Sus scrofa: one gene and its partner. The protein of the gene in region 1 interacts with the protein of each later gene in a biochemical or structural test. Links are inferred from orthologs where the notes say so. Each region holds a gene or a part of one and is shown in the gene's direction. Other genes may lie near its edges.

Region 1 (8,411 bases):
TAATTAAATGACAACAGCGGCTGTTTTCCTTTTTTATTGAAGCATGGTTGATTTACAATGTATTAATTTCTGCTGCACAGCAAAGTGGTTCAGTTATACACATATATATGTTCTTTTAAAAAATATTCTCTTCCATTATGGCTTATCATTGGATATTGAATGTAGTTCCTTGTGCTATACAGCAGGACCTTGTTTATCCATTCCAAATGTAATATCCTACATCTATTAACCCCAAAGTCCCAGTCTGTCCCCCTCCCACCCTTGGCAACCACAAGTCTGTTCTTTATGTCTCTGAATCTCTTTCTGTTCTGTAGAGAGGTTCATGTGTGCCATATTTTAGAGTCCACATATAAGTGACATTATACGTATCTTTCTCCTTCTGACGTCATTTAGCATGATAATCTCTAGCTGCATCCATGTTGCTCTGAATGGCATGATTTTGTTCTTTTTTATGGCCCAGTAGTATTCCATTGTGCATATGTACCACGTCTTGTTGATGAATAAATGAAATGGAATTCAGTTACTTCCAGAAGCGGCCTGGGAAACAGTCAAGAAAAGGCTCAGACATCTAGGAAGGTAGGAAAACAACGAGGTTAAGAAATGCCAGGTTTTTAGGTCAGACTCCTTACACCTAAGGGGTAAGAACAGGGGCCAGGACTCAGGTAAGCAGAGAAAGAGGTTTCGTTTGGTTGACAGAGAAAAGACTCCTTAAACATGGGAAAGAAGCAGAGGGAGAAAAACTGACGAAACTGAGAGAAGAATGGGATTATTCCAGGCATTCGAGGCTCGAAATGGGTTATTCAGAGCCAAGGACCCAGTGACAATTGCCTACAGAGAGAAACAAAGCTGGATTCTGGAGGTACTGCTCTGTTGCTTAAACATAGCTCTTCTTGGAAATCACTAGAATCATTGAAATTCTGAGCTGCAAGAGCCATAGCAATGATCTAGGCCTGTCCTTTTATGTCACTGATAGAGGCTGGAAAAGGCAGCCTAGCATCTGGCCCAGAGGAGAGTCAGCCTGAGCTCAGCCAGAGCAGGTGGACATGTCAGGGGCTCTAAGAAGAGAGCTCTATTCAGAAGACCGTGACCCCAAGCAAGGTCCCTGGCTGCAGGGGATGGGTGCAAGGGCTCAGAGCCTTAAGGCATTCAGAGACTTAGGTAGTCGTTCAAATACAGTTTTGATAAACAAGCCTAGCTTTTCCTCTCCAATACAGTTTGATAAACAAGCCTAGCTTTTCCTCTCCGTAACAGGTTAACACGCAGAGGAGTTTGCTGGGGAAAGCGTCAAGAGCTTTTAGTCCTACCTTGCAGCTCTGGAAGGAGGGGAGGTGTTAGCAGAAGGCAGAGAAACAGAGGCCCTAAAACTGCCTTTCGGTTTGTCTGGCTCAACTGTTTGCAGGTTGGATAACGACAAACATCTTATCTGCCTCTTTATCCCTATATCTCGCCTCCTGTTTACTTGTCTCTAGATGGCACTTCCTGCAACTCTGGCAACTTTGTTACGGGTCAACAGAGCGCACCAGTCGCCCAGAACACACCCAGGAGACTGTTTCTGGGAGAAGTCCTTGCCTTGAAATTGCGTTATCTAGAGGCTAAAACCAAACTGGGACTGCGTGCCTGTTCGTGCAAAGTGCTTGGTGTAGTAACAGGCCACAGTTTCACGTAAGCGCCCCTTCGACAGCTCTCAGGAGCTCCAGGCCTTGAGTGAGAGATCTAGAAAATCGATTCCGTTCTCTGGACCTCAACGTCCGCATCTGCAAACCGGCTCCCTCGGCGAAGACCCAGGACGACCGCCCGCGGGACCCGCCGTCCCTCCCGCCCCGAGCCGTGCGCTCGCTCCCAGTCGCCACGGCTCCACACACTGCACCGGGTTCCGCGGGCCTTCAGGGGGCTCGCCCCAGCCGCGGGGCGCCGACCTCCTCCCTCCTCCGCCTCGGGATCAGCAAGGTGCGGGAAGACCGGCTCCCGACCCCGCGCGCCCGAGACTGGGCGGGAGACGCAGCCGCGCGGCGCGCCCCGCCCCACCGTGCTCCGCGGGCGCGCGCACGCACGCAGGCGCGGGGGTGCACGGCCCGGCGGCGCGCAGGGCCGGGCCGGCCCGGCGGCGGGAGCGCGCGCGGCTCCGGGAGGCGGCGGCGGCGGCGGCGGAAGCGGCGAGGGCGGCGGGCGTCCGGCTCAGAGGTGGTGTCGGCGGCGGCAGCAGCGGCTCTGGACTGGGCTCGGCTAGGAGCGAGCGAGGGTCGGGGGCGCAGGGTCGAGCGCCGATCCTCCAGCTCGACCATCCACCAGTAGCCCAGACGCCTGGGCCGCGGAGTTTGTGTCCCGGCTCGGACCCCGGCGCCCAGCCCGGAGCCGTAACCTTGAGGCGGCGGCGGCGGGGCCGGGCCGGGCCGGGCCGGGGGGCGGCGGCGCTGGATCCGCGGCTGCCAGATCGTTGGCGGGAGATGTCGAACCCCGGAACGCGCAGGAACGGCTCCAGCATCAAGATCCGTCTGACAGGTACGGCCGGCGGGAGGGCCCCGCCGCCCCCCCAGCGCCCACTCGCACCCCGCACGGCCCCTCGGCAGCCCCGGAATTTCCCGCAGAGCGCCCTGGGGAAGTGGCCCTCCCCCACGCCGGCCGTGGTCCCAGGACCTCGTCGCCCTCTTAGGCTAGTGCCCCTCATCTCCCTCCCGGCCCCGCCCCCTCGCTGCTCCCCGGCCCCGCCCCCTCGCTTCTCGCCCCCCCATCCGCCCTCTAGCTTCTCTCCCCCCTCCACCTGCCCCCTCTCTTCTCCCCTCCTGGCCCCCTCCGGTTCACTCCCTCCATCCTTCTCGCTCCCGCTCCCTGTTCTCCCCCAGGCCCCTCGCGTCCCCCTCCTGGCCCCGCCCCCTAGCTTCTCTGCTTTTGGACCCCCTCCGTTTTCATCCCCTGCATCCTCTTTTCGCTCCCCCTCCTCCTTCTTGCCCCTCGCTTTTCCCCTCCTGGCCCCGCCCCCACTTCTCAACTCCCTCCTTCCCCTCAATTTCTTCCCTTTCCCCTCACCTGCCCCCTCTCTTTTCCCTCTTGGTTCCGCCCCCTGCTTCTCCTCTCCTTCCCACCCTCTGTCGCTTCCCAGTCTCTACCCCCACCTGCCCCCTCGCTTCTCCCCTCCCGGCCTTGCCTCCCGCTTCTCCCTCCTGGTCCCCCCACCACCCCGCCCACCGACTTCTCACCCCTCCCCCATCAGCTCTCTCGCCTTCCTCTCTTTACCACCCCTCCCCACTTGCCCCCTCGCTTCTCCCCTCCTGGCCCCGCCCCCTCACTTTCCCCCTAAGCCCCGCCCCTCATTTTCTACCTAGTCCCGCCCTCGCTTATCTCCCAGCCCCGCCCCCTTGCCTCCGTCTCGCGCCTCCACCCTTTCCTTCAGCCTCGAATTCCTCAATCCTATCTCCTAGCTTCTCCTGGTCTTGTTCTCATTTCCCCTCTGGTCCAGACCTCTTCAGTCTGGTGCACTTCCTTTCTCTCTCAAACCAGGCCACTGTCTCCTCTTGACTGTGCCGCTTCCTTTTCTGCCCTGCACTTCGCCGTCACCCCCTCACCCCCCGACATCCTTAAACACCGCCAACCCCCGCCCCCCTCACGCACGCTCTGGAGGCTCCGGCGGCTGCACGAACGCAGGCTCCTTGATTCACTCTCTTTTAGTCTTCAATGAAATGCCCGTGTCTCCTAGGTGGCTCTGTAGTGCCACCTTCAAGGGTGAGCGCGAAGCTCTGCTCTGGGCCTGCGACGTGGTGGTTTGGATGCGCGTAGCTGGCAACCGTCTGGCGGGGCCCCTCGCTAGCAGGCTCCAGCGATCCTGGACCAGTTTGCATCCTCGTCCACCCTTTCTCTCAGTACTCCACGGCTGCTGCCCGGTCTCCTGGGTTGAATTCCCACCTGAGGCCGAAATGAAATGCTGCAAATACAGTTCGGCTGGGGGACTTTCCAAACGTGCATATTTCCAGCTCTGGAAATGAAATAAAAAGTTCAGGCTAATCCCTGTCAGGGGTTTTCCCCTGGATTTTTTCTGTTCCGTGTCTGGTCTGATGATGACTCCAAAGTCATTCTGGTCAGATTCTTTCCAAAGGACAGTGAGCGTTTGGGATACTTTATGGCAAATGCATGGCCCTCAGTTATTGGTGAAATCCATGAAAACAACAGTGGGTCATTTTTTCAAACTAAAATTTCCTTTGGAGGTTCTTAGTTGTTGCATGACCCATTTTTTTTTTTTTGTTTCCAGGAAAGGGAGATTCGGGGATTTTTGTTTCTGGAGAAACAATTCTTTCTTCCAGGGCTGGTAGGAAACGCTCACTACGTAGATACAGTATATAAATACATTGTTATTTTTATGGTTACATAAAAACCACGTTTTTGACTTTGTAGTGCTTGTAAAACTTCAATTACTGACAACTTTAATTTGGTCCTCATTTACAATGTAATCTATAATTGACATCAGATTGGTTTCACTTTTCTTGTTAAAAGCAGAAGTAACTGATTTTGTGAGTTTGGGTGGAAGCGTGATTAATGTTTTAGAAGCACTAGGTTTTCATTACAACGTTTGTGTCAGGTGTAGATGTTTTAATCAAGCCTAGTTGGCAGGTCGGGACCTGGGCCTTTTTTTCCTGGAAGGGGTGGAGTGGGGGCTCTATCCTTCCTCCCAAATTATTTTGGGACTCAGGCACTTGGATGCCATAGGTTCGGAGATGCTTTAAGGAGTTTTTGGATAGTGTCTGATGTTGAAGGATTACGCGAGGAGAGTTATTTCCAAAGCACCTTTTCCCTTTCTCCCAGCTGATGTTATTACGGATCTGAAGGGAATCCCTGAGTTTGCTCCTCCCTGCAGCGAGATGGAGAATTTAGCTGTGGATGCAGACCTGCTTGATGCCAGGCGTCTGATGAACAATAATTTACTTGGAAAGGTTGGAACCAGATACTTGGTTGGCAGCGGACTAGGTTTTGGTCTCTTCTTTGAGCTTGCCAGGGGGAGTGGGATCACTGCTGGCATCTTGGGAAGCCATCTTTCAGGAGGTATGTGCTTTTGTCACAGGTTTCAGAGTTTATTTCCTTGTGTGATATTTGAAACCATGTTTTAAAACAAGGGTTATTCTAACCAGTCAGTTGATACCAGAGAGCATAGTTCAATGAAAAGTATGAAGACACTGGAATATAAGAGTGTTAGAAGTTGGCGACCACTAAAAGTTGTATTTGGTGGTGAGTGGAGTGTTGGGTTTAGAATTGGGAGACTCCGTTCTGGTAAGATCTACCATTAACTGCCTGATACAGAACCAATTATTTGACCCTTGTGAGTTCTGTTTTCTAATGTACAAAGTGAGATTTCAGCCCATGGTAACTTTCTTTTCTTTTCCTTCTTGAGGGCATATCAATTTGGCTCCCTACTTGTTCCAAATTACCATTGGCTTATGCTTTCTATTGTTGAGTGTCAATCCAGATATTCAGAATTGCTGTTAAAACCCAGCGCTTCTGTTTGATTGAAGCCAAGCGTTCCTTTTGTGTATGGGTTACATTTTATGATTTCTCCCCCACCCCCCACCCCCAGCCCTTTTGGTTTTTGAAAACTCTTGGGTAGTATGTCGCACTGCTGAAACAGTAGAAGAATGTTTGGGTCTTTATACTGAAAAGAATATGATTTTAATGAATGTCTTTGTGGTATTTTAACAGGAAAATAGTTTTTAAAGGGTTTCAGTAGGTTTGGAGCATAACATATGCAAAATCAAGTGATGTTTGCTGAAGAGCTGTCTTGCAGATATTTTAGAGTGCACCGGCAAATCAGACACTTTGGAAACTATTTTAAATTCAAGCAGGATTTGCAAAACCTTGTTCTTATGTGGTGCACAAATGAATCCCAGATACATTATTTGGGCCACTTTGGTAAAAGAATGGAATTTTGAACTCTTGGGGTTCAGTGCTCGTCAAACAAATTTTATTCTAATGTTAACCAGTTATTTGAAATTCCAAATGCCTAAACTTTTTTTGTGTGCTTTTATGCCTTGAAATACCCTCTCATCGCCTGGTGTTTTTATATTTTTCCGAGCATGACTGTGTAATATGAAGGTAATATGAAGGTAGTTTCAAGTAGAGAGGGGGGAGAGCCCTTTCTTGATAGCATATGGAAATGGAAACTATTTTTAAAGTTGTAGCACGTGTAAGGCTGACCTCCCCCCCCCTCCGGCTTCCAGATGATCCAACTTGGAGGGAAATGGTTGTAGTAATAGTTGTTAATAACTTTCATTTATCAGTAGCAGGTGACCTAATTGATTTGAAATAGTGACGTTTTCCTTAAGAAAGATTAAGAAACCTGTGAAGATGTTGCCTGAGTAGGTGTGTACCAGCAAAGACCCCGACCTATGTAAGGCAGGCGGAACTCTTGTTTTAGCAAGTGGAACTGTGATAAGAGGGAAGCCGTCACCCGTATTCACCAATGCCTGCACCTGAGTTTGCCTGACATTTTCCTTAGAGCCTGCCTCAAGTTTGTGAACGTCCAGTCAAGGCACTTCTTTGGGGTCAATTATCTAAGGGTGTGGGATGGGCCGGATCACATGCTATTGCAAAATTTCAACTCCTGTTATACTTGAAAAGCAATCACGTTCTGCCACACACACGGTCTCTCACTGACTTTATTTGTCATTTGGTCACATCTGTGTTGTCTTAAGAAAAATTGTTCTCAAACAGGCGAAAAACAATCTTCTTGACCCACCTCAGTGGCTTCAGAAGCGAACTATTTCTTGTGCTTTCTATCTGTATTTTTAGAGTAATTGTGCTCTATCAAACTAGAATATTTTTTTACTCCAAGCCTATTTCTTTGTCAGTTCACAACTCCTCTTTTTGCAACCATGAGAGTCACGTCTGAGCTTCAAGTCTTCTCTTCTCCTCGTATTTGCTCTGTTTGGTCACCTCGTCCGGCTCGAATGTGGAACATTGGATGAGCGGGAGGTCCTGGGGGCTGAGTCACTTGTGAAGATGTATTTCCTCCTGAATTAAAAAAAGAAAAAAAAAGACAAAAAAAAAAAAAAGACTGACCCATAATATTTCAACATCAGCTCAGTGATCCAGTTAACTAGACTGGCTCTTTTGTAACATGTTTGTGGGCACTGGTTAAAAGTTAAAATAGCTGAATTGTACATTTTATTGAGTGCTGAGAGCAAAAAAGGAAGTTCAAAAAAACCTTCTGAAATGGAGGAAATGGTGTCTTTGCCATGCTCTGATTTTCTGGGCGAGAAAACCTTGACTTTTAGGATTCTCACTTAAAGCACACATTTTGGCATTTCAGAACCATCACCATGGTTAAATATTTTTAAACAAGTAGCAAATTAAAAATTATGTGAGTTTATGGCGGGTTTTGGTTGTTGGTCGCTAAACAACTTCAGTTACTGGTCTGCTTGTTGTTTTATAAGTGAATTTTATCGCGCGAAAGCTCTTGCCTTGAATTGGCTTGCTGTCCATGGCCCTCTCCTTCGAGCTGACCAGAGTCCCTAAGGCCGGTCTCCTTAAGAGCTGCGGAGCCCGGTCGAAAAGACAAAAGCTCATAGCCACGTGGACCAGGTCTGTCTGCTTTTCAAAATGTTGGAATTGCTGTTGTGTCTCCAGATGACATCGAATCCATTTAGATATTTCAACCAAGTGAAATGTTTCCATATTAACATTTAGATTAACATTAACATTTAGATTAAAGGGGAAACATCCTTTTATTGTTTTAAAACAAGGCTCAACTAATGCACAAGCAGTGCGTCTGGAGATGTGGCCGGCGCTCTAATCCAGCTGTGTTCACCTCCACGGCAGCTGAAAGGAATTCTAATTGGCCGAGGAATGTCGGCACCATCATGTATCACGGAGCAGGAGCCCGTTCTGCTGGCTGCTGGGTGATGCATTTCAGATGTTTTAGGCTCCTGAGTCCAACTTGGAGGTTGCTTGCAGGAGTCTGGAAGAGAGAGGCGTGAAGCGGGGGTTGTGGACGGCAGCCGGCTTTCTTCTTTGTATGTTGGGCATCCGCCCAGTTCTCTGAAGGCCTTCGTGCTTTCTTGTGGCTTAAACACCGGACTGGGGATCAGAAGGTCCGACTTTTATTTCTAACTCACCAAAGTGCCACAGTGAAGAAGGGGATGGGTGGAATTAGAAGCTATTTGTGACTCTGTTTTTCCCTATCTGTCATGTGAGGTCCCTGCCTTTTTTATATCAGGCGAGGACTTGATAGGGATGAAATATTTTGATGAGTAGTCATGAATGATTTAGAGTAGCACAGTGTAAATACAAAGTCGTGGATGCTTTTATTTCTTATTCCTAAATAGTCACGTAAATGCTAAAGCCAATGATGTGCTTTGACACTGAAGAAAATCTGTAGAATCTATTGATAAACATGGAATAATAATAGTCAAGAATGAATTGTTAAATTCTCC
Region 2 (7,714 bases), about 35 Mb from region 1:
GGGGTGGGGTGTGGGCGGGATGCAGAGGGACCCCGGACAGAAGCAGGACCCTGGGTGCAGTGTCCCTCCCCTCTTCTAACAAAAAGTAGAGGTGAGTGAGGCTGAGACCCAAAGAGGGCGCTCCCTCTGAGGCAGCGGTGCCAGAGGCTGGGTCTAGGCTGTGGTTTGGCCCGCGTGAGTGGCTTTACTCTTTCCGCGGCTGCCTTGCCCCCCAAACTCTCTGTTGGGTGAACATCTTAGACTCTCCGTCAACCCTGCGTTTTGGAATTCCATCCCTCTTGAAACCAGAGCTGTGAAACTTAGAGCTTAGCATCCAGGACAGCAGAGAAGAATAAATACACCAATCCTCGGGGGTGTTTTTTTCTCAGCCCGTCTCTAGATAACCGATAAAGAGTTATTGTGCCTCTCCGCCCCTCCTTTTTGTCGTCCTTGTGTTCTCTGCTTCCTCAGGAAGAATTTCAGGCGTTCTGGGACCGAGCCCTGTTTTGGAGAACACACGCAGGCTCAGCCTGGCCCCCTAAGATAGCGGTCGGTATCTGAGTTCAATTTTAGGAGCTGCTATTCCAGGATGAGGACGGGAAGGCGTATGCCAAATGCATTGTTTCTGTTGGGTTTTCAGCAGGTGTTGAAGTTTCTTGGATTTCTAGTTTCAGAAAAGCTTTTCGGGTTACACAGGTCATTGAGGATTTAGCTGGTTGGCGGGATGACATGTGAAACGGCGGGCCCGGCCTTTCAAGAGTTTAATTAATGGGCCGACGGGAACGTGTCAGAGTCGCACTGCTGTTTCTGCGCGCCTCGAACCTAAGAAGCTCCTGCTGCGGCTCAGCGGGTTAATGATCTGGCTTGTCTCTGGCGCTGCTGGTTCAATCCCAGGCTCGTTGCAGTGCGTGAAGGAGTGGGCGTTGGCGAAGCTCTGGCATGGGTCACAGATGCTGCACGGGTTCCATCCGTGGCTGGTAATGTCTGTGTGCCGTGGGTGTGGCTGAAAAAAGAAAAAACAATTCAGATGGTATATTTGAGTGAAATGAATGCGTACGTACACACCTATAGCACCGAGGCAGCTGCCGTGGTGCCCAGGCATGCCTGGCAGGGACCGAAGGAGCGTTTCGGTGAGGTGTCAGGGTTTCCGATTCCCTTTGTGGCTTCCCTTTATTGATGGTGGCTACAGACCGTGGGCCAGAGTCAGTGTCGGTGGGGACTGGACTCTGACCTCAATGGATGTAAATGCCTCACGGGTGGTACACACACCCGACGTGCGCTGCAGTTGTCCGTGGGAACCCAGACATTTCGGGAATGGGCTCGTGTTTCAGCACCAGCAGGAACTGGGAGCGAGGTTCTCGTGCTTCCAAGGCCCCGAAGTTCTCCTGTCCGTTGACAGCGGAACATAGGTATGGATTTTAAGATGTTCCTTCTAGGCTAGGAAAAACTAGTTTAAGTGACATGGGGGGCTTGTTCACACACGAAGTAAAAGTTAGTCCGTTAAAGCAGTGCATTTTCATGACAGAGGACTAAGTCTTTCACTGGCTGCTCTTTCTGTAGCACAGTCCTTCAGTGCCTGCGAAGAGCCAACATTCAGCGTCTGTAGGTGGTGTTTTCCTTAATGGCGATGAAGTAAGTATTTATTGGTGCCCATTACTTGCAGGACCTTGTGTTAGATGCTGTGAGTCCTGCAGAAAATGTTTAACTCGGGCTGCCACAGACCACTCCTGTGGCAGAAAGGGGCACTTTAAGAGAAAGTGACGGTGACTCGGAATTAGCCTCCCAGTCAGACACAGTGATGTGTTTTTCTCAAGGCTGGCGGATCCCTGCAAGGGTGAGGCTCAGGGACCAGGGGTGGGTCCTCTTTCCTGAGCTGGTGTCCTTGACGGGAGAACCCTGGATGGCCGCGAGCAGCTGTGGAGCTGGGACACCAAAGGTGCTCAGTTCGTGTTGATGGCACTCAGACAAAAAGCACCTTGGCAGTTTCAGTGGTCCGTGAGCAGCAGGGTGTCATAGCCCATGGGCTTTGACCTTAAGAAGCAGGCTGTTCCTGCTGAGCCTGAGCCCTTCAGCCTGCCAGTGGTTTTCATAGAAAGTCATGAGCTGCAGAGCCGTCCATAACCGTGACCCATCCTCCACCTCTGGGTGCTTCCTCTAGCCCCCCACAGCTGCCGGCCCTCAAAGTGTGTGCAATGTGCGCATGCAGGCATGGGGGCAGGTGGCGGGGTGGCGGGGAGATCCACGCCTGCTGTTTGTATGCTGGCAGGGCTTTATTTCCGTCCCTCTTTGTTCTCGCAGGATGACGCTTGTAGCTAGTGGCATGGGACATTGATCCCTTAGCGCCAGAGGCGTGCCTAGAGCTGTAAAGCTTTCCAGACATTGTTTTCACGTGGTACAAGACCGGTGACAAAGATTGAAAATTTGGGAGTTCCCGCTGTGGCGCAGCACGTTAAGGATCCGGGCTGTCTCTGCGGTGGTGCGAGGTCGCTCCCCGGCCCTGTGCAGTGGGTTCAGTGTCTCGTGTGGCTGCAGCTGGGGCGCAGGTCATAGCTGGGGGCGCGGGGTCAATGCCTGGCCCGGGACCTTCCACAGGCTGTGGGTGTGGCCTCTGGAAAAAAAACAGAGTGAGAATTTAAGCCGAGTCTCTGGCTTTGAGCGGGAGGGCGTCGTTGCGAGGCTTGTCTGAGAAAACCTCTGTGGTCGTGTCTCCATGGCCCCACTGTTCCTAATCCTTGTCCTCTTGATGGTTTCAACAGGCCAGAGTGATTCCCTGGGAGCCGTAAGTACTGATGTATTAGGGTGCAGCGCGCGTTGCGCCTTGACGCACAGCGCCCCAAAATGAATACCCAGGAGCAGGGCTTCCCCTTGGACCTCGGCGCAAGTTTCACCGAAGATGCCCCCCGGCCCCCAGTGCCTGGTGAGGAGGGGGAGCTGGTGTCCACAGACCCCAGGCCCGTCAGCCACAGCTTCTGCTCTGGGAAAGGTGCCGGGATTAAAGGGGAGACTTCGACAGCCACGCCGAGGCGCTCGGACCTGGACCTGGGGTACGAGCCCGAGGGCAGCGCTTCGCCCACCCCGCCGTACTTGAAGTGGGCCGAGTCGCTGCACTCCCTGCTCGACGATCAGGACGGGATAAACCTGTTTCGGACTTTCCTGAGGCAGGAGCACTGCGCTGACCTGCTGGACTTCTGGTTCGCCTGCAGCGGCTTCAGGAAGCTGGAGCCCTGCGACTCGAACGAGGAGAAGAGGCTGAAGCTGGCCCGAGCAATTTACCGCAGGTACATCCTCGACAGCGGTGGCGTCGTGTCCAGGCAGACCAAGCCGGCCACCAAGAGCTTCATCAAGGACTGCATCGCCAAGCAGCAGATCGACCCTGCCATGTTCGACCAGGCGCAGACCGAGGTGCAGTCGAGCATGGAGGCCAACACCTACCCCGCCTTCCTCAAGTCCGACATCTACGCTGAGTGCACGCGCGCGGGCGCCGAGAGCCCCAAGGCCTGTGGCGAGCCGGGCTCCGCGGCAGGCACGGGCAAGGGGGTCCCCGGATACCTGCCCACGCTGAACGAGGACGAGGAGTGGACGTGCGACCGAGGCGCGGACGAGGAGGCCGCCGGAGACCCCGCACCGCCCGGCAGGCTCACGCAGACGCTGCTGCTGCTGGAAACCGCCGCCCCGCGGGCCTGCTCGAGTAGACGGTACAGCGAAGGCAGAGAGTTCAGGTGAGTCCCCCGCGAGGCCGCCGTCCCACGCTCGCCTCCGGGCACTGGAGGACTGGCCTGGGAAAGGGCTGCTCCCTCGGCTCTGGCCCCAGAGCGGCGGGACGCCTGGTGCCGGGGTGCGAGGTCACACGGTGTGCAGAGCCTGGCAGGTGGAGGGTGCTTTTGGCGAGAACAGCCCCAACCCGAGTGGCTTCGGAAGGCGCTGGGAATGTGGGCTGCCTTGGACGCCACGTGGCGTCCAACCCTTAGCAGTCCCGTGTGTGTCCCCTCGCCCAGAGGGGTGTTGACCTGGTGGCCGCGGTCCTTGGGGCTCAGAGAGCGGAGGCCTGGACGTTGAAAGGCGTCGGTGCGTGGAGAATTCCGGGTCGTCCCCCGAGCTTCTTCCTAGAGGTCGGGAAGCGCTGCTGGCGAGGCTGCTGTGCCGCAGGCGGTCCGAGCCCCGTGGGAACTTCCTGTGGCTGCGCTTGTGGGTCTAGGACCACCCCTTTCTCCTGCCCAGACCGGGACTCGGAAGCTGTGGTCATGGTCGTGGCCTGTGGGCACAAAGGCAGCTGGGAGGCCAGGAGCGGTGCCTTTGGCAAGTCGCTGGGACTTTGGAAACCTGTTTCTTGGTTCTCTTTCTTGTGGTTCCTGGCAGTTTGTTTGGTCTCTGGCCGGAGCTTGTGGCCGCCGGTCGCAGCCCTTCCCCTCCCTTCCCCGTCCTGGCCTGCGAGGTGCTGAAAGGCTGGCATTTAATAAAGCGACCCCATGATGCAGGCGAGTCTCCCGGCGCTGGTCTCCCGGACCCCGTCTTCAATCTTCTCGTGGCAGAAAAAGTGGTTACTTGCTAACAAACACAGGGCTAGATGTGCTGAGGGTTGAAATGTTCTCTAAGGGGTGGGAAGCAGACACACTGTCCTAGGTGACTTTCGTTTGCCTTTTTCTCACTGTCTCTCTCTTTTCTTTTTTGGCCTATGAGGTTCTCGGGCCAGGGATCAGATCTGAGCCGTAGCTGCAACCTCAGTTGCCACGGCTGCGGCAGTGCCGGATCCTTAACCCGCTGTGCTGGGCTGGGGGTCGAACCTGCCTCCCAGTGCTCCCAGGATGCAGCTACAGCGGGACCTCCTCATGGTCTTTAAACCTTACGTGGCGCAGTGGTTAACGAATCCGACTAGGAACCATGAGGTTGCGGGTTCGGTCCCTGCCCCTGCTCAGTGGGTTAACGATCCGGCGTTGCCGTGAGCTGTGGTGTAGGTTGCAGATGCGGCTCGGATCCCGAGTTGCTGTGGCTCTGGCGTAGACCGGTGGCTGCAGCTCCGATTCGACCCCTAGCCTGGGAACCTCCATATGCCGCGGGAGCGGCCCAAGAAATAGCAAAAAGACAAAAAAAAAAAAAAAAAAAAAAAAAAAAAGAAAATCTAAATCTAACTTGAGAGTGTTCATATTTGGTCAGGACAGTGTTCTTTTTGTTTGTTCGAAGGACCACACCTGCAGCCTATGGAGGGTCCCAGGCTAGGCGTCGAATCGGAGGTGCAGCTGCCGGCCTACCCCACAGCCCACGGCAACGCCGGATCTTTAACCCACTGAGTGAGGCCTGGGATTGAACCCCCATCCTCATGGATGGATACTAGTCGGGTTTGCTACACTGAGCCACAACGAGAACTCCTCGACTTGATCTTGTGTGGGGCAGGTTTAGGTCACCAGCAGAGTTGAGAGGAAGGTGCCGCAGTTTCCCGCACACTCGTGTCCCCACGTGTGCATGGCTCCCCCGTCACCGGCCTCCCGCAGCAGAGTGGTCATTTGTCTCAGATGCCAAAGCTATGGCATGACCACCCGCCGTCCGTGGTTGCACTCCAGGCCCCTCAGCGGTGGGGTCCGTCCTGTGGGTTTGGACCAAGGTGTGCGACGTGTGTCTGTCGCAGAACTGCATGGGGTGGTCTCGCTCTGCCTCCGCGTCCTTTCCAGCCCCCGCCCCTGCCCCTGTCAGCCCCTGAAGCTTTTGCCATCTTCATGGCTTTGCCTTTTCCGGAAAGCCATGTAGTTGGAGCTGTGCAACGTGCAGCCTGTTCACGCTGGCTTTTCTCTCTCTCTCTCTCTCTTTTTTTTTTTTTTTTTTGTCTTTTTGCCTTTTCTTGGGCCGCTCCCGCGGCATATGGAGGTTCCCAGGCTAAGGGTCGAATCGGAGCTGTAGCCGCCGGCCTACACCAGAGCCACAGCAACTCGGGATCTGAACCATGTCTGCGACCTACACCACAGCCCACGGCAACGCCTGGTCCTTCATCCACTGAGCGAGGCCAGGGATCAAACCCGCAGCCTCATGGTTCCTAGTCGGATGCGTTAACCACTGCGCCATAACGAGAACTCCTAGCTTTTCTCTCTTAATACGCTTTTGCGGTTCCTCGGTGTCTTTTTGTGGCTCCGAAGCTCATTTCTTTTTGGTGCTGAACCGCGTGGGTGGTCTGGCTTATTTACCCACTCGCCTGCTGGAGGACATCCTGATTGCCGTGTTTGACAGTTGTGACGAAAGCTGCAGTAATCACCCGTGTGCAGGGGTTGGTGTGGGCCTGAGTTTTCGTCCCCTTTGGGTGAATGTCAGGGGCCTGAGCGCTGGATTTCATGGTGAGAGCAAATTGAGTTTTATCAGAAACTGTCCCCTTTCCGAGTGTTTTTGCCTCTGCCTTCCTGTGGCCAGCTTTGTGCCAGGTGGGCTCCCTTGCCTTGGAGGGTGGCTCCGGGCTCTGGGCGCCCTTGTTTTGTAAACAGACGCTTCCCACTGAAGGAAGCACAGAAGGGGGCCCCGCGTCTGCCCTGGTGGTCAGGGATGGCTTGTGCCAGTGTCCTGCCCGTTCCAGCATCGTGACCGCGCCAGGGCTGGGCCTGCTGCTGGGCTCACCCCAAACAGGGCGCCCAGAGGAGGAGGTGCCCAGACGGGGAGCCTCACGGGGGGCGGGGTGCAGGTCTGAGCAGGCCCCTCCCCCCGGGGAGCGCGAGTGTGCACGCACATGCATGCACATCTGTTTGTCCTGTCGCTGACTTGAGAAACAGCAGGTGAGCCTTTTACTTAGGTCTTTGTCAAAACCGAAAGAGTAGAGGTGGCCCTGGGTTTTTCTGCATTTGTCCTGCTCACCTGGGTCCTTTTGAGCCCTCGGGCTGAAGCATCCCCAGACTCGTTGCTGCTCCCCTGGTCTCTCTGCGAAGGGTCTCCCTGGTCCTTGTTGCCTGTTGTTGGTGGGACTGTGAGCATGTGTGACTTTGGCTGATTCACACCCACCATTTAAATTCGGTCTTTTTTTTTTTTTTTTTTTTTTTGTCTTTTTAGGGCCAAACCCATGGCATATGGAGGTTCCCAGACTAGGGGTCCAATCACAGCTGAAGCTGCCGGCCTACACCACAGCCACAGCAACTCGGGATCCGAGCTGCGTCTGCAATCTATACCGCAGTAAATGGTAACGCCTCATCCTTAACCCACGGAGCGAGGCGAGGGATCGAACCCGCATCCTCATGGGTACTAATCAGGTTTGTCACCCCCGGGCCACAGTGAGAGCTCCCCACCACTTAAATTTGGTGTCAGTTGGCAAAGGGCCCTCTGATGATGCGGCTCCCCGTGCCCGGCGGCTCACGCCATTGGTCAGTGGGCGGGGGCGGGGTGGGGCGGGGGCGGGGCTGCTCGGGCAGGCTGGGCGGGCCAGAGTCTGTGCGCTGAGACTGGAGCGGTGGATCCTAGGCGCTCTCCATTGGTCAGCAGGGCCGCCAATCTATGCGTGGGCGGGGACGGGGGCGCGCAGGCCCAGCCCTGAGAGGTTTAGCTCTGCGGTCGCCACGGCAGTTCCGGTGCCCCTAGGCCACAAGGCGTGGAGACTCGAGGGCAGGAGCCAGGGCCGGTCGGAGGCATCGGGGTCCTGGACGGCGCAGCCGAGCTGCAGGTCGGCTCTTTTGGCTGTGTTTTTACTTAATGATTTGGCGTTGGGGCCCAGGCTCCGCCTCAAAAGCTTGGCCTGGCCCGACCTGCCTGCTGGGTGCCGAGCTGGGCCAGGTTG

What was found. The genes of interacting proteins can lie anywhere in the genome.
Region 2: of the proteins of SMURF1 (region 1) and AXIN1, one has a biochemical effect on the other in vitro, tested with the Homo sapiens proteins (2 studies listed by BioGRID, with this or other methods). The link is inferred for Sus scrofa from reciprocal best matches to the Homo sapiens genes SMURF1 and AXIN1.

Annotation. Positions count from the first base shown.
Region 1 is NC_010445.4:6,136,284-6,144,694, reverse strand, and holds the start of SMURF1 (E3 ubiquitin-protein ligase SMURF1), read left to right. Parts: upstream 1-3,316; 5' UTR 3,317-4,733; coding exon 4,734-5,028; intron 5,029-8,411. UniProt on the Homo sapiens protein: E3 ubiquitin-protein ligase that acts as a negative regulator of BMP signaling pathway. Mediates ubiquitination and degradation of SMAD1 and SMAD5, 2 receptor-regulated SMADs specific for the BMP pathway.
Region 2 is NC_010445.4:41,345,382-41,353,095, forward strand, and holds part of AXIN1 (axin-1), read left to right. Parts: intron 1-16; exon of another isoform or gene 17-2,735; 5' UTR 2,736-2,817; coding exon 2,818-3,698; intron 3,699-7,714. UniProt on the Homo sapiens protein: Component of the beta-catenin destruction complex required for regulating CTNNB1 levels through phosphorylation and ubiquitination, and modulating Wnt-signaling.